7 linked regions of the Mus musculus genome follow. The protein of the gene in region 5 interacts with the protein of the main gene of each other region in a biochemical or structural test. Links are inferred from orthologs where the notes say so. Each region holds a gene or a part of one and is shown on either strand. Other genes may lie near its edges.

Evidence for each region.
Region 1: of the proteins of Mapk3 (region 5) and Dusp3, one has a biochemical effect on the other in vitro, tested with the Homo sapiens proteins (2 studies listed by BioGRID and IntAct). The link is inferred for Mus musculus from reciprocal best matches to the Homo sapiens genes MAPK3 and DUSP3.
Region 2: of the proteins of Mapk3 (region 5) and Ptprj, one has a biochemical effect on the other in vitro, tested with the Homo sapiens proteins (2 studies listed by IntAct, with this or other methods). The link is inferred for Mus musculus from reciprocal best matches to the Homo sapiens genes MAPK3 and PTPRJ.
Region 3: of the proteins of Mapk3 (region 5) and Ptprb, one has a biochemical effect on the other in vitro, tested with the Homo sapiens proteins (2 studies listed by IntAct). The link is inferred for Mus musculus from reciprocal best matches to the Homo sapiens genes MAPK3 and PTPRB.
Region 4: of the proteins of Mapk3 (region 5) and Srebf2, one has a biochemical effect on the other in vitro, tested with the Homo sapiens proteins (2 studies listed by BioGRID). The link is inferred for Mus musculus from reciprocal best matches to the Homo sapiens genes MAPK3 and SREBF2.
Region 6: of the proteins of Mapk3 (region 5) and Sp1, one has a biochemical effect on the other in vitro, tested with the Homo sapiens proteins (2 studies listed by BioGRID). The link is inferred for Mus musculus from reciprocal best matches to the Homo sapiens genes MAPK3 and SP1.
Region 7: of the proteins of Mapk3 (region 5) and Gab2, one has a biochemical effect on the other in vitro, tested with the Homo sapiens proteins (2 studies listed by BioGRID). The link is inferred for Mus musculus from reciprocal best matches to the Homo sapiens genes MAPK3 and GAB2.

What each region holds. Positions count from the first base shown.
Region 1 is NC_000077.6:101,978,292-101,981,791, forward strand, and holds part of Dusp3 (dual specificity protein phosphatase 3), read right to left. Parts: coding exon 3,326-3,500; intron 1-3,325. UniProt on the Homo sapiens protein: Shows activity both for tyrosine-protein phosphate and serine-protein phosphate, but displays a strong preference toward phosphotyrosines. Specifically dephosphorylates and inactivates ERK1 and ERK2.
Region 2 is NC_000068.7:90,451,596-90,455,095, forward strand, and holds part of Ptprj (receptor-type tyrosine-protein phosphatase eta isoform 1 precursor), read right to left. Parts: coding exon 3,498-3,500; intron 1,899-3,497; coding exon 1,688-1,898; intron 1,579-1,687; coding exon 1,454-1,578; intron 553-1,453; coding exon 465-552; intron 1-464. UniProt on the Homo sapiens protein: Tyrosine phosphatase which dephosphorylates or contributes to the dephosphorylation of CTNND1, FLT3, PDGFRB, MET, KDR, LYN, SRC, MAPK1, MAPK3, EGFR, TJP1, OCLN, PIK3R1 and PIK3R2. Plays a role in cell adhesion, migration, proliferation and differentiation.
Region 3 is NC_000076.6:116,342,874-116,346,373, forward strand, and holds part of Ptprb (receptor-type tyrosine-protein phosphatase beta precursor), read left to right. Parts: intron 1-919; coding exon 920-1,183; intron 1,184-3,500. UniProt on the Homo sapiens protein: Plays an important role in blood vessel remodeling and angiogenesis. Not necessary for the initial formation of blood vessels, but is essential for their maintenance and remodeling. Can induce dephosphorylation of TEK/TIE2, CDH5/VE-cadherin and KDR/VEGFR-2.
Region 4 is NC_000081.6:82,145,981-82,150,068, forward strand, and holds the start of Srebf2 (sterol regulatory element-binding protein 2), read left to right. Parts: upstream 1-1,288; 5' UTR 1,289-1,422; coding exon 1,423-1,510; intron 1,511-1,569; exon of another isoform or gene 1,570-2,197; intron 2,198-4,088.
Region 5 is NC_000073.6:126,758,370-126,762,425, reverse strand, and holds the start of Mapk3 (mitogen-activated protein kinase 3), read right to left. Parts: upstream 2,801-4,056; 5' UTR 2,781-2,800; coding exon 2,608-2,780; intron 1,696-2,607; coding exon 1,513-1,695; intron 1-1,512.
Region 6 is NC_000081.6:102,423,316-102,426,815, reverse strand, and holds part of Sp1 (transcription factor Sp1), read right to left. Parts: intron 1,186-3,500; coding exon 1,020-1,185; intron 1-1,019. UniProt on the Homo sapiens protein: Transcription factor that can activate or repress transcription in response to physiological and pathological stimuli.
Region 7 is NC_000073.6:97,080,585-97,084,550, reverse strand, and holds the start of Gab2 (GRB2-associated-binding protein 2), read right to left. Parts: upstream 2,801-3,966; 5' UTR 2,726-2,800; coding exon 2,645-2,725; intron 1-2,644. UniProt on the Homo sapiens protein: Adapter protein which acts downstream of several membrane receptors including cytokine, antigen, hormone, cell matrix and growth factor receptors to regulate multiple signaling pathways.

The sequences.
Region 1 (3,500 bases), on a different chromosome or scaffold from region 5:
GCCACCACCTACACCTCCTCACAGGCATTATTTGGAAAGAAACTGCTGACCCAGAATTAAGAGCATCTCCTCTGCACCCCTCTTTCTACCTCAAACGCACCTCTACTTGCCCAGATCCTCCTACATCAGAGATGGGAGTCCCCCCACTTTCCTACCTTTCTCTCTCTGGCTATTACCTAAAGTTCTCAGCAGGGGCTTTTACTGATCCCGCTGGACAGTGGGACCCTCTGCAGGGTGGCCACCCTCCTGTTTCCCACAGGGAGCATGCTCAGTTACAACCATGCTCCAGTCCCAGCCCACACAACGCCTCCTTCACACGCCCTCCTTAGAAACACATGATGGCTCCCTCTTATACACAAACCCAGGCTCCTTTCCTACTCCCTGGCACACATGTCTGTGTGCATGGGTGTGCTCACTCACACTTTCCTGTGAACTCTAATGTGCACTCTCCTCTCTCACTCTCTCTTTCAAATTATGTGTGTGATAAGCCCGAGTGTGCATGCCTGGTTCACATGAGTGCATATGTGTGTTCAAACGCACACTTGTCCATGTGCATGTGGGGGCTTAAAATTGGCATCTACTGTCTTCTTCAATGTTTTATTCTCTCTCTTATATGTTAAGGCAGGATCTCTCACAGAGCCCAGAGCTCAGTGTTTTGCTATTCTGGTTAGCCAGTTTGCTCTGATGATTCCCTGTCTCCGCCTCCCGAGTTCTGGGATTACAGGCAGGCCACTCTGCCCACCCAGATTTTAAGAGTATTCTAGAGATCCAAACTCTGGTATTCATTGGTTAGTCGCCAAGCACTTCAGCTGCCCAGCTACCTCCCTGCTCCTAGCCCCTGGTTTTCTCAGTAATGGATTCCTGTTCCCTAGAGTCCTGCAAGTGGATAGAGAGAGGCCAGTATCCATTTTATCTTAGCAGTGTACCCACAAGGCACCAGAGCTCTGCAAGTGGTCAGAGAGAGGCCAGTATCCATTTTATCTTAGCAGTGTACCCACAAGGCACCGGAGCTCTGGGATGCAATCCCCGCTTTGTTCAGCAACCACCCGCAGTGAACACTGTGAACACCATATGCTGGGGAGAAACCAGGGACATGGTCCCCGAGAACCAGCCTGAAGGCAGGCTCCAGAACGAGGGCCACTATGCCTAGTGGTAAGATATAGATAGGGTTTGCCAAAGGATGGGGAAAAACTAGCAGGAAACATTCCAGACCAAAGATCCAGTCTCCCCATACACAAGGTCAAAACAAGTCAGCATATATTCCCTGTAGTCCAAAAAGAGGAAGTAAAGGCAGAATGCCCCAGAGTTCCCTGAATGAGGATGACCAACCACTGCCATGTGAGAAGGGTGAAGCCTCACTCCTTTAACTAGCAAGGCCGTGTTCTCCATCTATCCAGAGTGAGAAGCACAGAACGGCTGGAGGAGAAGGGCTCGGGTTGGGTGTGACAGGGATTAAGAGGGACCATAGGGCCCTGGCCTTAAAGTCTGCAGCTTTCCCAGTCTGTTACAGAATGTACAGCTTTGACGGGATTCGTCATCGGGATGCTGAAGTGACCCGCTGTTCCAGCATCCTACCTCCTAAAGTTGCTTCCAGAGCATTGCTTCCAAAACAGCCTCAGAAGGTAGGGGGCTGGAACAGCAGGTCACTTCGGCATCCCAAGGATGCACCTTGTCAAAGCTGTACATTCTGTAACATGTGACTCTCACAACCAAAATCTTAGTACTCTTAAGATATTCGTATGGATTGTGCAAGGTGCACAGATCAGTTAAGGATGAATTTTGTTCCTTCCTTGAGCAGGTGAAAGACAACTGGCTTTTTATGAGTTAGTTTGATCAATAAACAATTGTAATAAAGCTTCATACTCGTGCCATGTGAAGGAGGTCATGAAGAATCTTAAGGATTCCACAACCAGTAAGATTTATTGTCTAAATTTAGCTGAAGTTTTGGCTAGAGACGTTTTTATGTCTAACTCAGTTATTGGGCTGTTCCCATGGCTCAGAGGCAGAGGGATCAGATTTAAGAGCTGCAGGAGAGAAACCATCCAGCAATGTAGGTGCGAAGGGAAGTGGCCCTAGGGGCTTCTCAGAAGGTAACAGGGCAGCAAAGATAAAATATAGATTTAGAAGGTGTTAAGCCAGGAACACCAGAGGGAAATGTGTGCTAACTTCAGGGATGTTCAGAAATGCCCAGTCACTGAGCTAGTTAAGGCATATCAAAATTAGCTTGTGTGTGTGTGTGTGTGTGTGTGTGTGTGTGTGTGTGTTCATTCGTGAATGAGCTCTTGAGCTGATACAGCAGTATGCACCGTCCACCAAGAGCCAAAGCTGTTGAACCGTTACACCAGTCAATAGAACTTCTGTAAGTCCAGTGGTAGGGAGTTCTCTTTGGGAATCACCAGGACAGGGAAGCTGCTGTGTACCCAGGAAGCCTCTATGGAGCACAAAGAAGGCCAATTACACCTGCAGTGGGCCACCCCTCCCCCACAGAGGGAGAACCTGTCTGCTCTGCTGACATCTGCCCTGTGACCCTCTCAGCCTTCTGTCCTGTCTGACCACTAGCCAGCTCTCATTCAGCCCTACTTTCTGTCTGCGGCTGCAGGGAGCGAGCGGCAGGAAGACTTAACCCAGGATCTCTAGGCTGCTGACCCTGAGCCAGTCGTGGCCACTCATTCCTCTGGCGAGGTGACCACTCATGAATGCCTAGCCAATAAAAGGGTAGGAAAGCCCCACTGGGGGAATTCTGGGGAATGGTTCACTTGCTCAAACAGGCTGGGGATGTGGCAGAGTCTTTACGGTGCTCAGGCCTAGGGACCTAAGTTCAGATCCCCAACGCGACATAAAAGCCTGACCCAGCACATGCCCCTGCAGTCCCAGGGCTAGGGAGGTAGAGAAAAGCAGAACTCCAGAGCTCACTGGCCAGCAGCCTAGATAAACCAATGAGCCCCAGGATCAGGGAAGAGACCCTGCCTCAAAAAATAAGGTGGGGTGGGGAACGATTGAAGACGGTGTTCAGTATCAACCTATGGCATGTGTGCACACACATGTATACACATACATGAATAAAAAAATGGGCACACTCAATTAAAGGGAAAGGAGCACAGCTACCTAACTCCTGCTCTCTGTCTGAAATATTATTATCCATTGTCATGTCTATGGCACAGACTATATGCAGTGGCCCCCATCGGCTCACATGTAGGACACTTAATCCCTAGTTGGTGGCATATTTTGGGATCTTTCTGGAACCTTTTTCAAGTGGGGGCCTCTTTGGAGGAAGCAGGTCCCAGAGGGCTTACGCTCCATGGGTGCCGGAATGTACGTTCCTTACCATTTTTATGGGCCAGCGCCTGGTCAATGAAATCTGTGGCCCTTTCAAAGTAAGCACTGAGGTTGAACTCCTGCGTATCATTGGCCTTGATGCCCAAGTAGGTGATGCCAGAATCCTCGTAGAAGCTAGCACTGGTGTTGACGTGCATGAAGGACCTGCCCTCGGCAGCATTCAG
Region 2 (3,500 bases), on a different chromosome or scaffold from region 5:
TCAGGGTGACAACAAATCCAGGTACACAGCACTGTTCTCACTAGTTAACTACACCACAGGGTGGTGGTACAAAGAGAACGATGAATAATGTTGTCATGGAGTGAGACATTTGTCAGTGTCCTCAGCTCCTTAAGCCGGGGACTCATTCCCACACCACAGAGTGTCAGGGCTTCCAACCACGAGCAAGGATGGAACCTGAGTTCAAACTTGCCCAACTCTAAAACCCTATGAAACTCTTAACACATTCATAGAATCCTGACTTGAAAGTCGCATCCAGCAAGTCAGTGTAGGACTGACGCAGATGGGAGGAGGTCAGAGAGGAAAGAGGACTGGCCAGGTGGTGACACTGTGAAGAACACAGGGGCTCTTTCAACTCTTCCCTCTGATTATACATACGGTTGCCATTCCATATAATAGAAAGTTCCCTTCAACAATAGCACCTGATGATTAATAAGCAATATCACCTTTTCTTTCTCCAGAAGATGAAGCCTCCCACAGCTGTGATGGCCAGGGCACCAAAGATACATCCAAACACTGCTCCGCAGATGACACCTGGGGAAGACCCCAACAGTGGGATTTCAATGGGTGTTCACGAAGGGCCATGTGCTACACACACAGCCAGCCTGCCCATGCAGGATTCAGGGAGAGAGGGAGTGTGTGCACACAGCGAACAAGTAAATATCTTTGGATGAAAAAGTAGAACAACTTTCAGGGCTGATTTCTTCTCCCTTCACCCATTTGAAGGATAGTCCTGGAAACAGCAGAGCCCTGACCTAGGTCTCTGTTCTGCTGCAAATGTGGGGACCTGAGCCAGCTAGATCACTGGTTTTTCTTGTCACCTATGAGCAAAACTACCTACAACACCATGCCCACCCTTTTTGGGAGCTATTTAAGAGAAGGAGCAGGAACGCCCTGAAATTCGATTCTGGGTAATCTGTTCGACTCAGTAGCTCTGAAAAGCAGGCTAACAGACCAGTCAGCTACCTGAGATCCCCACATATCTAGCTCTGTGATCTTGAGTAGGAAGAACACCTCACAAGGAGTTTAAGGCTAGAATTTCAGAACTGCATTTAAGCCACTGTGTAACACTGGGCACACCCCCTCTCTAAGCCTTAAAAGCCTTCTTTCTAAGCAGAGCTTAGACAAGACAATTCCTGTGGCTCCTTCTAATTCAAGGACTCTTAACTAACTCACACAAGCCCACAAATGACTCCTAGAAAGCAAAGGACTAAGTAATCTGAAGAAGTGTGACCAGTTTAGAGGAGAAGTGGGGAGCTGTTCCTTCAAGCACCCCAGAGTGGGGAGCTAGGCTGACCCCAAAGACCAAGGGACATGTCAATTTCAGAGAGCCAAAATCCTCCACCCTCCAAGCCACCTGAGAGAGGGGCATGGTCAGCAAGTTTCTGCAGACACAAGACACAAAATCCACATCAGGGCTTTTGTTTCACTCTACCTGGGTCCTGGGGCAAGAACACGGCCTCTGAATATGGACTGAAAGACACATAGCTCTCATCCCCATTGATGAGGCCGTCATTCTGAAGGTTGTAGGTAATATTGGTAAAGCCAGCAACACAAGCCCTGTGGGGAGGCAAAGGAGAAAATAAGGTGACTGAGGTGTATTTACCTCATAGTACACAACCTGACATTCACGAGGCTCAGAAGGCAACTGCAAGGACCCAGATATTACCGGTAGGAGCCCAGAGGCTCCAGCCTCCCGTTGTAGTAGCCGAGGGTAGTGGATTGGTTCCCCACATCAATTTCATAGTTCAAGACTTCAGACAAGCCCTGAGACTGTCCCTTCTCTTCTATTCTTATGAGGTATGTGACATAAGTATCCGAGGCTCCCCTTTTGAAATCCTCATACGTGTACTTCAAAACATCTGCAGAAGGTTGGGCAGCTAAGAGAGGAACACAGAAGGTAAAAGATGAGTGACAGCAGAAAGGCATGTGTCACAACATGGCTGCCTGATGACACAGGTGCTGAGCAACAGTAGGCAGCAGCCACTGTCTCTCAAGGAGTTCTAGGAGCAGGAGAGCGCTTAGGACTTGGCTTGTACCACCTCATCTCTCTGTCAGGAGTCACTCACAAAAGCTTGCGGCCCCTATTCTCAAGCAAGAATAACAAAGTACAGAAAGCTAGCAGAGACCTGCCCAAAGCAGGCTGCCCACACTGTGAAGCTGGAGTTCCTGACCTCCTAGCCCAAGATCTTGAGTCCAGCTGCTGCTGACTGGTCTGGTCACCGCATAACAGGGTCTTTTTCATTCAGCATGGGTCTGAGTTTGCAATTTGTTGAAAGAGCTTAGAAACAGGCTCAACAGTTTTAAAAGTCGGGGGAAATGCCGTGTTTTGTTGATTTGTGTTCATAGGGATGCAGGTGCATGTGTGTGAGCTACTTTGCATGCATACGTGTCTATGTCCTCTATGTGCGTGGAAGCCAAAGGATAAACTCAGGTGTCATTCCTCAGGCACCTTCTCCTTTTTTTCTTCTTTTGAGTCAGGGTCTCTTTCTCTCTCTAGCCTGGAACTTCACCAAGCCAGCTTTGCTGACACCCAGACATCCTCCTGACTCTGCCTCCCTGGCCCCGAGGTTACAAGGTCATATCACAATGCACAGTTTTTCATTTAATATAGGTCCCAGGGATTACATTCAGGGCCAGTGCAAGGCAAGTACTTTACCAACCATGCTAACTCCCTAGACCTGGTTTGTGTGAAACCAGATACCATGCTGCTATCTGAGCTGTCCTCAGAGCATTCCCTTCTTACTGCCACAGAGTTGCCATCCAATTCCCCTCTTCTTCCACCCAGAAGATGCCCTCAGAATGCCCCAAGTAATCTTTTTGTGCTTGCTTTCAAGGGCACATCCTCCTAAATTGACTGGTTATGGCCTAGGGTCCAAATCCAGCCTCAGAGTTGGGTAAATCAACTGTGGGATGGGCCCTCTTGTCTCTCCTGCATCTTCTGTAATGTTTCCATACCACCACAAAGGTGCTGAATAGTTGTGACAGAGACTTCAAGGCCAGGGCAGCTTAAGGTACTTCCTACCTGATCCTTGAAAGCACCAGGTAAACAGCTGCCCTCCCTGTTGGTGCCACTGATGTACCTCATACACAGTGGTGGTTTGAATGAGAATGGTCCCAGAGGGTCATGGATTTGAATGCTTGGTCCCCAGTCGGTGGAGCTTTTCAGGAATGATTAGGAAATGTGGCTTTGTTGGAGGACGTGTGTCACTGAGGGGTAGACATCGATGTTTCGAGTGTGAGTGCCAGTGTGTGCCCCAGCCCCTCTGATTCCTAGCTGTGGCTCAAGATGTGAGCTCTCAAATGTTCCTGCCACTGAGCCTTTGCTCCGCCATCATGGCTGCTAACCCTTTGAAACCGTAAACCTGCTAAACACTTTGTTTTACGAGTTGCTTTGGTCATGGTGTTTTATCTCTGCAGTAAGAAAGTAGCCAAGACAGTGCCATCACACGGGTTAGCCCATGCTGGACCCTTCTTACCTT
Region 3 (3,500 bases), on a different chromosome or scaffold from region 5:
GTGGCTGTTTGTAAACTACATTTTGGCACGAGTAACTTACAAACGTCCTGTTTCTTTACTTTTGGGGCTCTGTGTTTTTGTTGCTTGTTGGGTGCAGGGAGTAAGGTCTATTGATGAGAGTTCAATGACAAAAGAATCTCACAGCAGAAGTTCTCACGGGCAATGGGCATGACACTCGTCCTGAACACAGTGGATGGGCTTGTACTTGACCCCACAGCTGCCAGAGATGAACAGTTTCTCAACCACCTTACATATCTTCAGACTCACAGGCTTTGAACTTAATGAAACTCCACTTCTTTGAAATGTAGATGGGCAGCTAATGGTGAAATTTGGGAGCTTGGCTCTCTGTTCTCAATCACATGATCCTTGTTTTGCAGTATGGTACACAGTGACTGTGATTTAGCAATACAAACTCTAGCCGTGATGCCCTAAGGCAGTGGTTCTCAACTTTCCTAATGCTCGGATGACCCTAATGCTAGGATGCTATGATGTTGTGATGACCCTCCCCCCAACCATGAAATTATATTCGTTGCTACTTCATAACTGTAATTTTGCTACTGTTGTGAATAGTAATACAAACATTTCATATTCAGGATATCTGATCTGGGACCCTGGTGGGGGTCACAACCCACAGGCTGAGAACCACTGCCCCAAGTCTTCCCAAAAGCACATTATTTGTCTGGGCCACAGACCTGTAAAAATCAGAGCCAGGAACATCATCTAGAAAGGGCTGTCACTAAAGTCTTATAGGGAAATCCATGCTAGGAGCCTGCTGTTTGCATCTATTGGAAGTCGAGGCATCTTAAAGTCAAGGGATGATGTGTTTGGGGTTGAATGTGTCCACCAAGGTATTGATTCTGGGATGTGTCAGGAATATGGCAAAATGCTGACCCATTCTCTTGTTCCTTGACACTTTCAGTCCCAGCAGCTGTCACCAATCTGAGGATCACAGAGAACTCCAGTAGATACCTGTCCTTCGGCTGGACCGCCTCGGAGGGTGAACTCAGCTGGTACAACATCTTCCTCTACAACCCAGACAGGACTCTTCAGGAGCGAGCTCAAGTTGACCCGCTAGTCCAGAGCTTCTCTTTCCAGAACTTGCTACAAGGCAGAATGTACAAGATGGTGATTGTCACTCACAGTGGGGAGCTGTCCAATGAGTCATTTATATTCGGCAGAACAGGTAAGACCCAGGCCCAAACAGTAAGGGATTGCCAGGGAGGTGTCACAGTATCCACCGGCTCAGCCTTGGTTGTTCATCCTTCCCAATTCTGTCCAGAGTGGACCTTTATATGAATGTGTGACCTTGAAACTTTGACTCTAACTCAGACTAGGTATGAGTTGTGTCTTCTTATTCTAGTGGCTATCGTTCCTATTTAGTTATCTGGTGGGGTTCATGAAAAATTAACCCAATTCCTCTACTTGCCAGCAAACTATTCAAAATAGGGTGGTAACCATCATAGCTCTAGTCAAAGTATGTCCAGCAACTTCCTACAAGTAATAGATTGTGGTCGGGGCAGGTCCACAGAAGGTCAACTTTGTATCTACAAATCACACACACACACAAATGCATGTATGCATGCTCACACTGAGCTCTAGTTAAAATGAACAAGATTTCCAGGAAACCAGGATACAGAAATCTCTCTGGGCTGTAAATGAGTTGAATTTTTCCAACTTCTTCATCGTTTGGCAATTGCTTTTCAGTGCTTTGAGGTGCCAGGTACATGACTCCTGGAAAATCGAAATGACCAAGAAAGATAAGCTCCTGACCTTAGACAGCCTCGTGATAGAGGAGAGAAGAGGGTTGATGTCTTAGGATTTCCATTGCTGAGAAGAGACACCATGACCAAGACAACTCTTACAAGGACGACATTTAATTGGAGTTGGCTAACAGGTTCAGAGGTTCAGTCCATTATCATCATGGCAGGAAGTATGGCAGCATACAGGCAGGCATGAAGCTAGAGAAGGAATTGAGAGTTCTGGCACCTTGATTGGAAGGCAGCCAGGAGAAGATTGACTCTTCTGCACTGGGAGGGGCTTCAAAGCCCACCCTCACAGTGACACATGTCCCCTAACAAGCTCACACCTCTTAACAGTACCACTCCCTATGGGCCAAGGCAATTCAAGCTACCACAGTTGGGATAGAAGATTTTAAAGGGAGATGACTTTTTTTTTTAAAGATTTATTTATTTTTTTATTATATGTAAGTACACTGTAGCTGTCTTCAGACACACCAGAAGAGGGAGTCAGATCTCGTTACGGATGGTTGTGAGCCACCATGTGGTTGCCGGGATTTGAACTCAGGACCTTCAGAAGAGCAGTCGGGTGCTCTTACCTGTTGAGCCATCTCACCAGCCCCGGGAGATGACTTTGAAACACCTTAAATTCCATGAAATGAGCATGTCTAGACCATGGCTTAGCAGAACAGGACATTACTTTAAACAGAGGACATTTCAGCTGAGACCAGAAGGTGAGAAGAGAAATGCAAAGAAAGTATGCCAAGGACGTTCAATGAAAAGTGTCTACTTGTCCCCCAAGGGAGCTGAAAAAGAGCCATGACAACCCTCGACCACAAACCGCATTGCCTAGATCTTAAGACTGTTACCTCTATGCTTGGTCAGGAGAACTTGAACCATTAATAAACAGAAGATGGGAGATGTGTGTATCCATGGTGGTACACAGCTTAACCCGCAACACTCAGGAGACTGCAGAGAGCCGAGCGAGTTTAAGAATTTCAGCTACACAGAAAGATTCCATATTAGAGAGGGGAAAAAAAGAGTCCCCAACAAGTCCTCATTATCCAAAGAATACCAGCTTAAATCAAATACCTATGGAGCAGGTAGTGTTGTGTAGGGCAATTCCCCCTAGTTATTAGATTGACTGATAAAGATGACAAGAAGCCAGTCACTGGGCAAAGATGTGAAGGCAGATCAGGAAGAGAAAGGAAGAAGAGAAGGGTGAGATGAGATGGAGGCCAGGGAGAGACAAGATAAAGGGAGAAGGAGATGAAGATAGAGCTGACCCACAAGGCCTGGACAAGCCACAAGTGGCTAGGGATTTCATAGATGGGCAGTAGAGTAATGTAGGGTACATTTGCCCAATTTAGGGGTACAGCTTGAATTCATATCAATTGAGTTCTGTGTTCTTTTTTATTTGGGGGTTGGAGATTTACCATTATAAATCTGGCTGATAAAAGTCTCCAGTGTTATTATTTTCTGGGGCTAAGGGGACTGAATGAGGGCTCCAGGCATTTCAGGAAAGAGTGGTTTGGTCAGCTTAGCAAGTGGAGATGGAGAGAGCTAGCTCGGGAGCAGGTTTTTGATCGGAGTGGCTTGGCAGCAGGCTGGCCACGGGAATCAGGGCAAGATGGCCATAGGGGCTGGGTGAGACCGCAGACGACAGCTATTAGTGGAATTTAGTGTGGCTCATTTTTTTAAAACTACGGGCAACAGTGTTGTGGCTGGTTTATATCATCGTAGAAAGGGCTCTGAGTGCTTCTT
Region 4 (4,088 bases), on a different chromosome or scaffold from region 5:
CCAGGCGCCTGATTGCCAGGATCTTTTTCCCTCTCAGAGCTGCAATACCTTCACTGGAGACCCTTTCCCCCTCAGAGCCTGCTGGAACACTTCATCCCAGAAGTTAAGAGCTGTTTGCTTGCCACGGAAATCAAATAAATGTGACAATGACAACTGTGGTCTTGTGCTGTTTTAAAGATGACAAACCAGGCTTATCAGCAAACAGTTGCTTAGCCAGCCCAGGAGCAGGAAGTGGCTTATTGGATATGCAGGTCTCCCCACAGAGCCTTCAGCTCTGACCCCCTAAGAACAACTGCCTCAGACTCACAAGAAGCTCTTCCTATGTATGCCATGAAAACCTTCTTCCTCTCAGTATACACTTAGGTCCTTTCTCAGATGTCCATTCCAGCATTTCTTTTTTTTAACGATGCCCTGATATTCTACTGTTTGGAGGTAATTTATGTACCTGATGCCTTACTGTGTTACTGTTTTCCCGTTAGAGAACTTTGTGATGAATGTCTTTGAATACATGTACTTAATAGCATTCCTCGGAACACTAATCTTTTTGTTTCTTCGGATAAGTTCTTGGAAGCGTGCACCTTTGTGTGCAGTGTGACCGACTACCTGTAAGATGATGCAGTGAGGTGACTGCAGGAGTGGGGCCTCACCTGGAGAGACCATTGAACAAATGACCTTGTCTGAAGGCCTTAGAATGATCGAGGTTTCCCAAAATTGAGGGCCAGTTGTAAAATGTTCACAATACTCAGGTGATCTCAAGACCCTGTTAAGTCTCGGATGGGATAAGTGTGACTTAGGGTCTGGATAGCCTATCCCAGAATGTTAGGGTACTATGATTCTACCCAGAGCTAGGGGGAGGGAAGAGGCAACTGGGGAGATGACGTAATGTGCTCCTAGAGTAAAGGGGGCGGTGGTAGAAGGTAGCGCCGGACAGCGGTGCGTTAACCCTTCTATTTCCGGGCTCTCGACAAAGTTGCTCCTGGAGCTGATCCAACGGAAAAGTAGCGGCTCCTTTAAGCCAGAAGAAGGCTGGGACGAGGACCCGGCGGCTACTCTCCGCTGGCGCTTGGATGCCGTGAGGGGCGGAGTCCCGCTATGCAAATCTGAGCTGCTGATCGATGACGCACCATCACCCCATGAGCCGCTTCGCGCGCCGATTGGCTAATGCAAGCCTGGTCCCATTGACAACAAACTTGGGGGTGCGGAGGCTCGGGGCGGGGCTGCAGTGGGCGCGGCCCGGGGCGGGGGAATTCTGCCCCGCCCCTTCCGTGGAGTCGGGGCGCAGCTCAAACATGGCGGCGGTTGGCACGGGGCGGTGAGGCGGTACCAGGTGGGGGCTGTCGGGTGTCATGGGCGGTGGCGGCGGTACCGCCTCCGCGTCTCCCTGAGCTGGACCTCACGGGGGACTCTGCGCCAAGCTGGGCGATGGATGAGAGCAGCGAGCTGGGCGTTCTGGAGACCATGGAGACCCTCACGGAGCTGGGCGATGAGCTGACTCTCGGGGACATCGACGGTGAGTGGCGGCGGCTGGGTGGGAGTGCGGGGGGCGCGCGGGGAGGAAGGGGTTACGGCGGCGCTCGCGGGTGCGCGTGCGCCCACCCCGCGATCGCCCCGGCGTGCGCGGGAAGGAACCCGCGGGGGCCGGGCTGCCCGGGAGGTTCCCAGTTCTTCTGGCTCCAGAGTCTGAGCCCGGGTCGTGACGCAGGGCTCCCGGTGGCTGAGGAGTCGTGGGCGCCGCGGGGCCCGAAGCGGGGCTGGGGGCGTCGCGAGTGCCGCCAGAGGAGAAAGCGAGGCGGCTGCCTCCCTCGCGCGCCCACACGCGCTCTGGTTTGTCCGGTCTTCGCCGGCGTCCCGCGTCGCACCTGTCACTCCCTGCCTGGCCACTGGAGCGGCTTCGGGATTTCCCGGACTGCGCTCCCGGGCTCGGCTCCCCCACGCCCCCGCTCTTTTCGGGATTGACTGACAGCCGGGTCTGCGGGCGCTCTGGAAAACTTTGGGCAACAGCTGCAAAAAGCAAGTTACTGATGGAGTGGACAGAGACCGCAGAGTGCGGCGGCCTTGGATGGAGACCCGGGCGCTCCTGCTGTCGCACTGCAAAGGGAGTTGAGCAGCAAGAATTTTGAGTTGTGGCCCCTCGGGTACAGACTAGGGAGCTGGTGGCCTTTGTTTCGGCGGCCTTAACAGCGAAGTGGAAGAACTGGTAGGAGCCCAGGGAACCTCTCTTAAAATTCTCTCACTTTTCAGCCACGGGAAGGAAGGTTTGGAGAGGGTCCCAGACTTGCCCGCGGTCATCATGCTGGTTAACAAAGCCCAGTTCTTTCTGTTTCTGAGCCACTATTAGTTTCTTTCCACTCCACCTTTAAGAAAAATAGGCTAGTAATTAAGTCATTCTCAGTAGTCAGGGCTCTTCTGAAGTTCTCAGTCCCAAATACTTTGCGTTAGTTCATTTATTCAATCCCGCTGAATTGGGTATCGCTCAGTTTTGCCGGAGGTGTCGTTTAAGGTCACTTACTTTAGAGAGTCCAGAACTCCTAGGCAGTGACTCAGTTTATGGAATGTTACTACACCTAGAATCTAGAACCTTGCAGGCAGATGTGATGGCCACATCCTCGCTTCGCAGGCGAAGAAGCAGGTAGAAGGTTCTCTCGTGGAGAAAGGAGTGACAACAGTTGTTTAAAGAAGGTGTTGGCCAGGTGCCTGTTTTGCTTTTGTAGCATTTTGTAGCATTTTTCCCTTAGGGTTCGCCCTTACTTCTCATTTTGGTCATCCAGACAGTGTGACAAGCCCGTGTATTGGAAGTTCCACTTTTAACCACAGATTCTTCCACCAAGGATCGCTAAACACTAAGATAGGTTAACGAATGGGAGGGGTTACTCCTTGGAACGTGGGAGTGGCTAAAGTGTTTTGAGCACCCAGGTACAAGATAAAAGTGTTAAGCACTCACACAGGTTCCCAATACTTATCACAGCCCTGTCAGATAAAGATGGATGTCAGACTGGCCATCTCCCCTCACCGTTGTTGGGACTGAAGCCCAGCGCTGTTCATTAGCATACCCAGGGTTCCCTAGTCAGTAAGGATGTCTAAAACTGCCTGCCAGCAGGTACAAGAGAAAATTCATCTTGGTCTTTTTTTTTTTTTTTTTTTTTTTGTACTTACATTTTATAATGATCTTTATTTGTCTGCGTTTTCAGTCTATTAAATCATCTTAGCGGTTAATATTAACCTTATAGATTGCTAAGTCTCACGGAAAATTTTAGGACCACCTGGGGTTTTGTATGTGCCTAGGGCAGCAAGTGCAAGTCAGAGGTGGGAAAGCTTCCTTGAAGGCTAGTTTACCAGAAAGATCACACCAAGGAGATAGCCATTGACCTTAAAAGACAAGAAGAACCAGTTGAACAAAGCTAAGGACACCGGGCTAGTTGGAAGTGTCCCCTGAACCCTCTGTTCTCCTGAGCAGGTTACTGGAGGGGCGGGGGGCGTGGTACGACGGGACAAGGGGACAAACCACCTTTCTTTTTCTTCCCTCTGTTCTTTGCACCGAGAACAGCCCTTGGGACAGTGAGAATGCTCACTGTTTATGGAATGTCTGTATGAGTACCTGGGACAGGATACTAAACGGTATTAGGTATAGTTTCCATGATTGGATCAGGGTGAGCAGCCCATGTGCATCCAAGAGGAGGAAGAGGAGAGGTGATATGAATGCACTTTTGTAACTGGAAGCCTAAAAGTCTCATGGCTGCCTTCAGGAGCTCAAGGAGCTGTGAGTCCAAGACCAACAGGGTCTCTTCTTAGTCGGAGAGCTTTACGTTCTTTAAGTTCTTCTTTCTTTTTTTTTTTTTTTTTTTTAAAGATTTATCTATTTATTATGTTTAAGTACACTGTAGCTGACTTCAGACAATCCAGAAGAGGGAGTCAGATCTTGTTACAGATGGTTGTGAGCCACCATGTGGTTGCTGGGATTTGAACTCCAGACCTTCGGAAGAGCAGTCGGGTACTCTTACCCACTGAGCCATCTCACCAGCCCTAAGTTCTTATTTCTTTGGGGTAAAATAAATGGTCACTGACCTGGAAATATAGTTCCATGGCAGGGT
Region 5 (4,056 bases):
TCCTTTTATACTTGAAGGTAAAACAAAGATTAAGCAAAAACAAATGGCTTATCTTTGGAAGAATAGTCAGGAGCTGGGTAGAGCACCTCACTCCTATAATCTCAGCACTTGGGAGGCAGGGGCTAGAGGATTGCCTAGAAGTTTAAAGCCAGTCTGGTCTACAAAGTTAGCCTGAGGCCAACCAGGGATACACTGTGAAACTTTCTTAAAAAAAAAAAAAAAAAAACTGAAGTCTGAACTGTCTTCTATAGAAGACATGTAAACTGGGGCTGGTGTCACCCCCAAGGCAAAGGCAGTTGGATCCCTGTGAGCTCAGGGCTAGCCTGATCTACATAGCAAGACCCCTTTCTCAAAAAGAAGAAACGAGGGAATAAGCACCTGCAGATATATACACACAGGGACCAACCCTGCTGCTTTATAAATGTGCAAGTCTAGAGATGCAGAGACCTGCTGAAGGTCATGCAGCAAGACGGGAGTATGTCGATTTCCTGTGGTCAGAGTTGCAGAGGCTGTAGAACAAATCCTGGCATTGGGAGGGGTGGGTAGGGAAAAGGCCATGGGTGCTACCGTCTGCTAACAATGGAGCCAGGCAGGAAGTAGATATGGACAATGAACTGGATGTCTGAACTAGGCAAGTAGTGTCAAGCAAGGGCAACAAGGGCTGGACTAACCTCCCTGGTCAAGGTACAAGTCCACAGGTGATCAGGGTGGGGCTCTCAGAAAGGTGGGAAGGCTCCAGGGAAGCCAACTGGGGGAGAAGAGGAAGCTACTAACAGGAACTGCCGAATTCAGGCAGACTCTCAGGGCCCCTCACCCTTCCTTGAGCCCCCGGCCTAGCCAGGGGCAGGAGTGCAAAGGCTTGGCTCCACCCTGTGACTCTAGGGTCCTCAGGTTCCCCCTCTTAACAATACAATGTGGTTTGAAAGCCTCCACTGCCTCCATGTTGGATTAAGTATCGCCCACTCCCCTTCCCCCTAGAAGGCACTGCAAAACTTAACACAGAGGAGCCTCGGTTTCCTTATCTTTGAAATGGACACAGTAAAACTCATCCGTCACACAGGGAAGCTAGAAGGTTGAATTAGAACCAAAGCACTAGGCCTGCCCAATACCGGTTTTCTTCTTTGCTTTCCATCCAGTGTGAGGTCTCTAAAGAAAGAATCGTGAGTCTGTTGAGCAAGAACAGGCTGTGGGCAGAGACTGGGTCATGTCACAGACCTGCAGATGTCAGAAGACAAAGCTCCCATAGAGATCGTTTTTTCCACAGCATTCTCCCTCCCCACACACCATACTGGGGCACAGAGCAGAAAGGGATGTGTTCAAGGCCACTCCACTTGGCTGCGACAGACCAGGATCCAAGGCCTGCCAGTGTGCTCTCATGCTCTGTAGACTCTCTGCTAAAAAGTTACTTTGCTGGGGTTTTTTTTTTTTGGAGGGTAGTACAAAAGATGACCACAGACAACAGAGCCAAGCTCCCTAGCTTTACTCTGGGGCTGTGGCTAAGGTGAAGGATACACATCTCTCATGGCTTCCAGGGTGGGCGCTCTGAGGATGTCTCGGATGCCTATAACATTCTCATGGCGGAATCGCAGCAAGATCTGGATCTCCCTCAGCGTGCGCTGACAGTAGGTTTGATGCTCAAAGGGGCTGATCTTCTTGATGGCCACTCTGGTCTTGCGCACGTGGTCATAAGCTGAGCTGAGAGGGCCAGAGAGATGTGGCCTTACAAAGGGGGAATCCAGGCCTGTTGGCCCCACCCAGGTCTTGGCAGGGACTGGAGAGAGGAGGAGAGGGTTCTGGCCAAATGTAAACAATGCTGGCTCCTTCCTGCTGTGAAGGCCTGGGATCTCCAGGGGAAAGCTGGGTATCAGCCAGGCAGCCTTTCAGTGACTTCACAAACAGAGGAAGAGAGTGGCCACTCACCGACTTCCTTTCTCCTGGACCCTCTTACATTCTAGTTGCCCTCACCCTCCTCCCCTTTCCCAAGCTGGACTCTCTCAATCCCAGACAGGTCCAGGGGATAGGAGTTAAATGGAGAAAGTAGATGAAGCCTAGAGGATTCAGTAATGGGACAGGAGAGAAGAGATAAGGAGGGGCAGGCAGGTCTCCCTGTGCGGTTCCTGGGTCAGAGCTGCTCCCATAGGAACAAAGGCCCAGAGCAGAGCACACAGTGGGGCAGCGAGAACTCACAAACCCGTATACCACAAAATAAGGCACATTCTAGAGACCCTTCCCTACTTTGGGCCCCTAGCCTTGCCAGGGGCAGAGGTGCAAAGGTTTGCCCCACCCTGAGCTTTGCTCTCCTCTCTCAAACTCTCTGTCACAGCCTCATCAGGGGGGAACCAAGGCTCCCACTACCTGCTCGTGGGTCCCTCACTCCCCCTTCATCCTCTTAGCTCCACCTTTATCTCTAGGGTCCCCCAGGTGCCCCTCCCTTAACAATACAAGGTGGCTTCAAAGCCTCCAACCCCCCTCCCTGGAGAAAGTAGCGCCTAGTCCTCCAGAAGTCACTGCACGATACTTCCCCTGCGACACTCCCTGAGCCCCCCATGTCCCGAGCACACACCTGCTGTCCCTGCTCCGAAGCCCCCTCCCGGGACGCCCCCTCACCTGACCATGCCGTACGCGCCCTCGCCGATGTACTGCAGCTGCGTGTAGCGTGGGCCCACATCGAATGGCTGCCCCTTCACCACCTCCACCTCCCCGGGGACCACCGGGACGACCCCAGCAGTTCCCCTGGGCTCCCCGCCCCCGCCCCCCGGAGCCGCCGCCGCCGCCGCCATCTCCACTCCTCCCGCCTCCCCCCGCTGCCCCGCCCGCGGCCCCGCCCCTCCCTACCGCCCTGTCACCGCGGGGCCGCGCGCCAGGCTCCGCCCCCGCCCCCGCGCGTCCCGCCCCCGCGCCTGCCGGGCGAGCCTGCGCGGGCCCGAGACGTCACATGGTCTCCTGGGCGCGCACCCGGCTTTCCCGCCTAGTTACGCTGTTCCTTCCCTGCCTTGGCCACTAGGGTACTTTAGTCTGCCAAGAGAGTTCTGCAGCCCCAGGGGCCAGTGGCCCTCAGTAATGCTAAGGGAACCCACCCGGCTTACAGTTAACCTTTGAAGACCTGCCTCACATCTTTGTTTCATTTAAACAGATAGTGGTAATCCAGGCTAGCCCCAAAGGCTCTCTATGTGGTGGAGGTTGGCCTTGAACACATCCTCCTGCCTTTAGGCCTGAGCCATCATACAGATTCAGGATGCTACTAGGCAAGCATCCTACCACTGAGCCACATCTCCATCCTTTCTTTTCTCTCTCTCTTTCTTTTTTAAGAGGGTCTCTTGACATGGAACTGGCTGTTCCAGAACTCACTATGTAGACTAGGTAACCAGGCTGGCCTCAACATACTAACTCGCCAGTGCTAGGATTAGTTAGAAGCTGTATGTATCACCATGCCCAGCTTCCATAATTTCTTATTCGTTTATTTGCCACATTTATTAATTTTGTGTGTTGGAGCGTAAGTATGTCACAGAGCCTGTGTGGAGGTCAGAGGACATCTGATTCCTTCCACCATGTGGGTCCCAGGTGTCCAATTCAGGCTGTCAGACTTGGTAGGAGTGGGCCACCCTGAGTTGCTGAGGGAGTATATCTTACGTTTTATAATGAGGAAGCAATCTGGAGGGTGGTGGACGGCAGGCAGCACTGTGAAGCTGTGAAGTCGGTCCTGACTCCAGTGTGAAGACACAGGCCTGCAGGGGGGCTCAGGTGTGTGCTGAGGCCCCAGTGTCGTACAAATCCTCTGCCTGATTGCCCAGAGGACGTGCAACCCAGCTCACTTCACGGGAGAAGGAGGGAAAGGGTGGTAGCTGTGGACAAAGGTAACTAAATCAATTTAAATTCACTGTCACCTTTTCTCTGTCTCTGTCTGTCTCTGTCTTTCTGTCCCCCCCTCCCCCCACGCTGGGCTGGTAAGATGGTTGGGTAGGTAAAGATGCTTGCCAAGCAAGCCCAAAGATCTGAGTTGGATCTCTGGGACCTTCACAATGGAAGTAGAGAATTAGCTCCTGCAGGTTTTCCTCC
Region 6 (3,500 bases), on a different chromosome or scaffold from region 5:
CATTCTGACTCTTCTCCCCCTGCCCCTAACCTAAACTTTTCCAGTTTATAATCTTCCCTCCCTAAGCTTATCATTCCCACGTAACCCTGCCATTTAGACAGGTGCTCTCTTGCCTCTCATATTTATCTTTCTCACTTTCTACCCCATTCTCTCTCCTGTTATGGCCAAGTCCAATCTACTGGTTGTTATTTAGTCTACTTTCTCTCCTTGCTCTGAACTCTTCAGTGCCTCTGGCTGTACCTTACCTCATTTTATTTTATTTTTTATTTTTTGTTTTTCGAGACAGGGTTTCTCTGTGCAGCCCTGGCTGTCCTGCAACTCACTCTGTAGACCAGGTTGAGCTCCAACTCAGAAATTTCCCTGCCTCCGCCTCCCGAGTACTGGGATTAAAGGTGTGCACCACCAAGCCCGGCTGTACCCTACCTCTTTATCTACAATAAAAACCTTCCCCTCAACTACACCTTGGAGAAGTCATAGTCCTGTTCTTAACTTTATCTCAAAACCCTCATTTTATTTATATACTCCCTATGTGGGGTTAAATAGACACATGTGCCAGGTGTGGTGGCACACCTTTAATCCCAGCACTTGACAGGCAGAAGCAGGTGGATTTCTTAGTTGGAGGCCAGCCTGGTCTACAAAGTGAGTTCCAGGACAGCCAGGGCTATACAGAGAAACCATGTCTCAAAAAACTAAAAAAAAAAAAAAAAAAGACACATGTACTTATTATACCTCCTCAGGAAAAGTCTGTCACAAAACATGGGATTACAGACACGTGTGACTACAACTGTCACTCTCTTTCTCTTCAGACACAACAGAAGACAACTTGGGATACCATTACAGATGGTTGTGAGCCATCATGTGGTTGCTGGGAATTGAACTCAGGACCTCTGGAAGAACTGTCAGTGCTCTTAACCACTGAACCATCTCTCCAGTCCTCTCCTATCATTTTTTCCTCATATTTTTATAAGAAAGAAAAAAAAAGTAAAAGAAAAATTCTATAATCAAGAAAATGAACTCACCTTCCCTCACTGTCTTTGCAATAGGGGCATGTACATGCTTCCCGACGAGTCCTGCGTCCAGCTTGGGGTTGGAGATCAGAGCTATTCTCTCCTTCTCCACCTGCTGTCTCATCATGTATCCCATCACCACCAGATCCATGAAGACCAAGTTGAGTTCCATGATCACCTGAAATAAAAAGACAAGGAGAAAGGTGAAAAGGCAGGACTAAATAGCTACCGAAATTTCACAACAGAGTCAGCCACGACTGGCTCTTTTTTTTTTTTTTCCCGTGGAGCACACTTTTAATCCCAGCACTCAGGAGGAAGAGGCAGGTGGATTTCTGAGTTCGAGGCCAGCCTGGTCTATACAGTGAGTTCCAGGACAGCCAGGGCTATACAGAGAAACCCTGTCTCAAAAAAACAAAAAACAAAACAAAACAAAAAAAGCGTGTGCCACCAACTGCCCGGCTCTAACTTTTAACTACAGTTCTTCCATGAGTGATATGTGTAGGATGCTTGTCTAAATCAAAGGACAACTTTTGGCAATCGGCTTTCTTTCTACCACATGGGTTCCAGTAACCAACCTCAGGCTGTCAGCCTTGACAGCAAGTGCCTTTACCTGCTGAGCCATCTCACTAGCTCATAACACACCATTTCTTCAAGATCTGTGTGTGTGTCTCTGTCTCTCTCTGAGATTTATTTATTTTATGTATATGAGTACACCACTGCTCTCTTCATGCACACCAGAAGAGGGCATCAGATCCCATTACATAAGGTTGTGAGCCACCATGTGGTTGCTAGGAACTTAACTCAGGACACAGACAGTGCTCTTAACTGCTGAGCCATCTCTCCAGTCCCGTCTCTCTCTCTCTTACTTTAATCTGACATAAGGTCATGCTATATTTGCCCAGGATGACCTTGAAGTCCTAGGTTCAAGCAATCTTCTGACTCAACCTCCTGAATAAGTACCTGAAAGACTGCCAAGGGACTACAGGTTTAAGTTTACATAGCAGTTCCAGGATGACCTTGGCTAAAGAGTGATACTCATGCCAAATACGAAGCCAAAATGACATCAATATCATTCTGGAATCTTTTCTCCACCCCTTTTAATAATAGTTTTAGAACAGTTTACTCTTAAAACATGGTACTACTAGTTAAGCAATGAGATAAATTAAAGATTGGCCTTCCTGTGATGAAAGTAGATAGGAAACCAGAGGCACAGTGTAATGACAGTCTTGGCCAAACCCAACTGTTGCCTCTAGCATCAATTTCTGAAACAACTATGGATGTTAAACATCTTTTCAGTTTCTTCTAAGTAAAGAAGTGTGGCTAAAGCCACAACCTTCCAAGATCACTAAGAGTCAAAACCTTATTCTTTGGGGAGAAAAAAAAAAATCTTGGGAATTACTAAAGTATGATGAAGACATCATGAACATCAAGAACTGTAAAGCAAAAACAAAACACCTTCTAGAACTGATCCGAGGGCCTCCACACAATAGACAAGTATTCTACCATTCAAAAAGCTAGTTTCTATATATTTCTAAAAACTCCAATTAGGCTTCTAGATTCCCATCTCTCATCTTGCTGTGAAAAACACGACAAAAACAAAAAAACAAAACAAAAAAACAAACAAACTTGGAAATTAAAGGGTTCACTTCATCTTACAACTCTTAGGCCATACTCCATCCTGACAGGGCAGAATGAGGCAAGAACCAAGAGGCAAGATTGACTTAATCTCCAAGGCTTCGTCATCCTGCTTACACCATACCCAGCTCCCACTGTGCTGGGTCCTCCCATATCAAGTATTAATCAAGAAACCTACAGACTTGTCTACAAGTGCCTTTAATCCCAGCACCTGGGAGGCAGAGGCAGGCAGATTTCTGAGTTTGAGGCCAACCTGGTCTACAGAGTGAGTTCCAGGACAGCCAGGGCTACACAGAGAAACCCTGTCTTGAGAAAAAGAAAAAAAAAAAAAAAAAAAAAGAAAAGAAAGACACACCAGAAGAGGGCACCAGATCCCATTACAGATGGTTGTGAGGCCACCATGTGGTTGCTGGGAATTGAACTCAGGACCTCTGGAAGGGAAACTAGTGTTCTTAACCTCTGAGCCAACTCTCCAGCCCCAGGACCTAGTTCTTATAATAGGTCTCTTAACAATCTTATAGTCCTTAGTCTGTAACTTCAGCTCCTGGGTATCCAACACCTTCTGGCTTACACACACACACACACACACACACACACAAACACACACACACACACACAGAGGTAGACGTACAAGTACACATAATTTTTTTACTTCCTCCCTTCATGTTTATCTCTCTCTCTCTCTCACACACACACACACATACACATACACATTTATATACACACACCAACACAGAAACACAAGATTTCAATATGGAGGCCTGGAACTTAGTGATTCACCAGCTTCTGCCTCCCTCATACCAGTATTAAAAGCATGTCCAAGCCTGGCGGTGGTGGCACACGCCTTTAGTCCCAGCA
Region 7 (3,966 bases), about 30 Mb from region 5:
CTGTGTGTGTGTGTGTGTAAAAGCCAACTGTTTACTCCAGAAATGTAGTGGATGTAGAAGGAGGCTGTACTGGAAGCATAAGTTATTTTGATTGGCTGTTTCAAGTAGGAGGGCTAAACTTCTTTCTACAGTGGGAGAGGCTTCCAGGCACACCAAGCTGTTGCTTGATGTGTCAGATGCCCTAGGGGCTGGAGCCAAAGGGAATGTGTGTGAGAAGGAGGCTGAGGTCACCAGAGGACCCAAGACTGCTAAGGAGTTTAAAAGGGTAAAATCTGTGTTTAACACAAGCCTCCAAACTTGGCTTATTCTGAGCTAACTCTGTTCTAAAAAATACTCAAGAGCTAGGTCATAAAGAGAATCTTCGTAAGTCTGTATCTTCATCCAGTCCTGAGTCAAAGTAGCAACGAGTATCGACTTTTTTTTTACAAGCTATTTCAAAAAACAAAGTTCCAAAGATCTCTAAAGTAGTATTTCTGTTTGTTTTCTCAAATTCAAGGATGACCTGAACTTCTAATCCTCCTTCCCCCTCCCCCTTGGAATGCTGGGATTACAGCCTTGTGCCACCCAGCACTTGTTTATGATGTACTCGGATAAAACCCAGGACATCTTGTATGCTAAGCAAACGTTCTATCAACTATGCTACATTCCTTTCTAATCTGAAATCTTTATTTTATTTTTTTAAACTGGACACTATTTCAGCGGCAGGTCATGTAGTCTGGATTGGCCTTGAGCTCACTAAGCAGTCCAGGATGATCTTGAACGCCTGCCACTCCAGCCTCCATCTTCCAGATACTGGATGCATGCTCATGCCTGTAGGCGTGAACAACCACCCCACCCAATCCCGACAAAGTCACCCCACACAATTTTCTTAACTATTATTGTGTATATGAGAGACTGTGTGAGTGTACGCGACACCACAGCGTGAGTGTGTAGGTCAGAACTCTTCTTCCATCTTTATATGGGTTCCAGAGGATCAAACATAAGTCAACAGGCTTAAGGGACACTGCTTTTACCCATTAAGCCATCTTGAAGTTGTGTGCATCCATGATGGGCACGCGCGTGCGTGCGTGCGTGTGTGTGTGTGTGTGTGTGTGTGTGTGTGTTGTTTGGTATGCAAATGAGAGACAGGGTCTCAAGTAGCAAGCTAGGCTGGTTTTGAACCTCTGATCCTCCTGTCTCTTGTTTCCCAAGTGTAAGTGCTGGCAGTTCAAGCCTAGGCTACAGCAACAGGCAACAGAACAAAACAAAAGAAAAAGCTCCTAGTAATTAAAATATTTTACTCATATCAACTCCCCCCCCCAAATGAGCTTTCAAGCTTAAACACCCCTACTATATTACTGTATGCCAAATCTCTGTCCATTTTCAAAAGGCATGCACTAAATCCTTAGATTCCCTGCCCTTCCCCCTGCCCCCTCTTCCCAGCAAGCAAGTGACCTAAGTCAGAGCCTGGTTTCATTGACACACTTGCACTCCCCAACAACACTTCCTTTGAAAAACAGAATGTCACTTCCTCAGTCCAGAGGCCAGAAGTCCCTTGATTCTGATCTGGGGAGTAGAGACAGGAAACTCTGGTAAGCTTCTGTCCCCCATGGCCAGCCACTAGTGCAGCTGACAGAGGGCAGGGTCTGTTGGGAGCTCCCTTGATGCACTGCAGCTGGAAGCGACCGCTCACTTCCAGGCTGTGGGAGTGATTTCTCAGAGTCCAGCACTCCCAGGCAGCAGAACAAGGACGATTCTTGGCAAGTGGAGAGCGAGAAGATGGGAGGACCTGCACTCCTTTAACGGACTTTCCGTTTCTAAACTCCTCAGACTACCCCAATCTCGGATCCTGGCACCATTTTGTTCTCTGAGCTCGGTAGACAAGAAGTGGGTGCCCCGACCCCAACTGCCAGTTTCTCACGTAGAGGGGACGGCCCGTCCCACCAATTTCACTACACACAGCCAGCTCGCACCACCTAGCAATTCAGAGCCACATCTTCAGACCCCAGACACCAGACGACACAAAACTCTGGCCAGTTATTGAGGACCAAACTGCAGTGTCACCCCGTGGGGCGGAGGACCGCGGTGTGTGTGTGTGGGGGGGGGGGGTATGTGAGAAACATTCGGAATAATGGGAAAGAAGGGGGACAAACAAATGAGTCACTTAATACAAGCGCTGCACATGCCGCTGACGCTGCCCGTGATGTAGTGGCCGCAGACTGGAAGGAAGCAAGGCGGCCACCGGGGAGGGGCGGACAGAGAAAGGGACCGGGAGAGGGGCGCCGGCGCCTCGCCCTTTGTGGGCCCGGGGCCGCGCGGCCCCTCAGCCTACCCTCCCGATCGGGGCGACTCGGCTCCTTCGGCCCCGGGCGTTTTACTCTCCCGGTCGCCCGGAACAATCGCTCCAAACTTCGGCTCGGCGAGCGAGGAGTTCTCGGGGAGGCAGGCGGCAGCCGCAGCCCCGACCTGCGCCCCGCCCCTCGGCGGCGCACCTGTGACAGGTGTGAGGCGCCCCACTCGCGCCCGCCGCTCTCGCCCTCGGAGGCCGCGGGGCCCCGGCTCGCCGCGCCCGGCCTCTCTCAGCGCCCCCATCTCCGAGGCCGCGGGACAGCCCCCGGCCGCCCTCCCGCCGGGCCGCGCCCGCTCGCCCGCTCGCCTCACTCACATAGCGCCTCAACTTCTTCTCGGGAGGCGATTTCCTCAGCCAGCCGGTACACACCACGTCGTCGCCGCCGCCGCCGCTCATGTCGCCGGCTAAACTGGAGCCCGCCGCCGGCTCGCGCGGACAAGGGCGCGGGCGCGGGCTGCTGGGTCAGCCGGCTGCCGGTGCGCGGCTCGCGGGGGAGGGGAGGGGCCCGGCAGCCCCGGGGCGAGGACGAGGCAGTGAGGCGCGCGGGCCCGGCTGCCTGCGCGCGCTCGAGTTCCACCCCCCCCCCCCGCCCTCCGGCCGCGCGCGCGCGCGCGCACACACACACACACACAGCCCCACCAGGGCGCCTCAGCAGGCGGGCGCTCGCCACGCCCACAGCCCCGCGAGGTCCCCGAGGGCAGCCGGCGCAGAGGCCAGTTAGCCTGGACCCCACAGGCCCGGAGGCCGTGAGACGAGCTGTCGCCAGCAGCTGCGTCCTCAGGGTCTTGGTGGCTGTTGTTGGTTTTTTCCCCCCTCTAAGCCTGGAGCTGCAGGCGGGGTCGTGAAGACCTCTGGGTGGTGCCGGTGCTAGGGTGAGGGAAGGCCAGAGGCTATCCACCCTAGGTCGAACGTTGAGCCTATGCTCAACCCCTCTTCCCCAGCGTCGTGGAAGAGTAGGACAGAGATCCAAGGACTGCTCCGGTTTCCTGTCCATTCCCACAGTTTCAGGTTTCAGTAAGTCCGATTCTGGCTGAAATGAGTCCTGCTTCACTGTAAGTTAACTCTCACATCTCTAGGCCAGAGAAGCAGCAAACAGACATACTGTGTGCTGGGAGCTTACTGCATTCACCTTCCACAGCGATTATCTTCACTGCCTTACAAATTGGATAGGTCATAATTATACCCATTTTACAGATAGCCTGAAGCCACACAGCTGACACAATGCAGGCCTTTCTAATCCAGGTGTTTTGGGAGGAGGGGAGGGGAATCTTCTCTCCTGTTTTTTTTTTTTTTTCCCAGAGTGACATTACTGCAGTAATGTCTGTAGATCAAAGGGTGCTTGGGGGGGGGGTGTGGGGGGACTGGACGGGACTAGATCTTATTGCTGAGAAACAAAGTCCAGCTGGCGCTCTCCCATAGTGCCTCTGGGAAAACTGAATCCAGTAAAAGGAAACTGTAAGTTTTGCAGAACACAATGAATTGGAAAACAAGGAGGTATAAAAGAACAAGAAATTGTGATAAAAATGTCCAGAGTTTCCACTCATTGACTTTATAAGAGATCTCTCCTATATAAATGTGAATATAGAGATCTTTTTCTCACTGGCTTGTGCTGAGAGGGTTGAGATAAAGGACCAGGA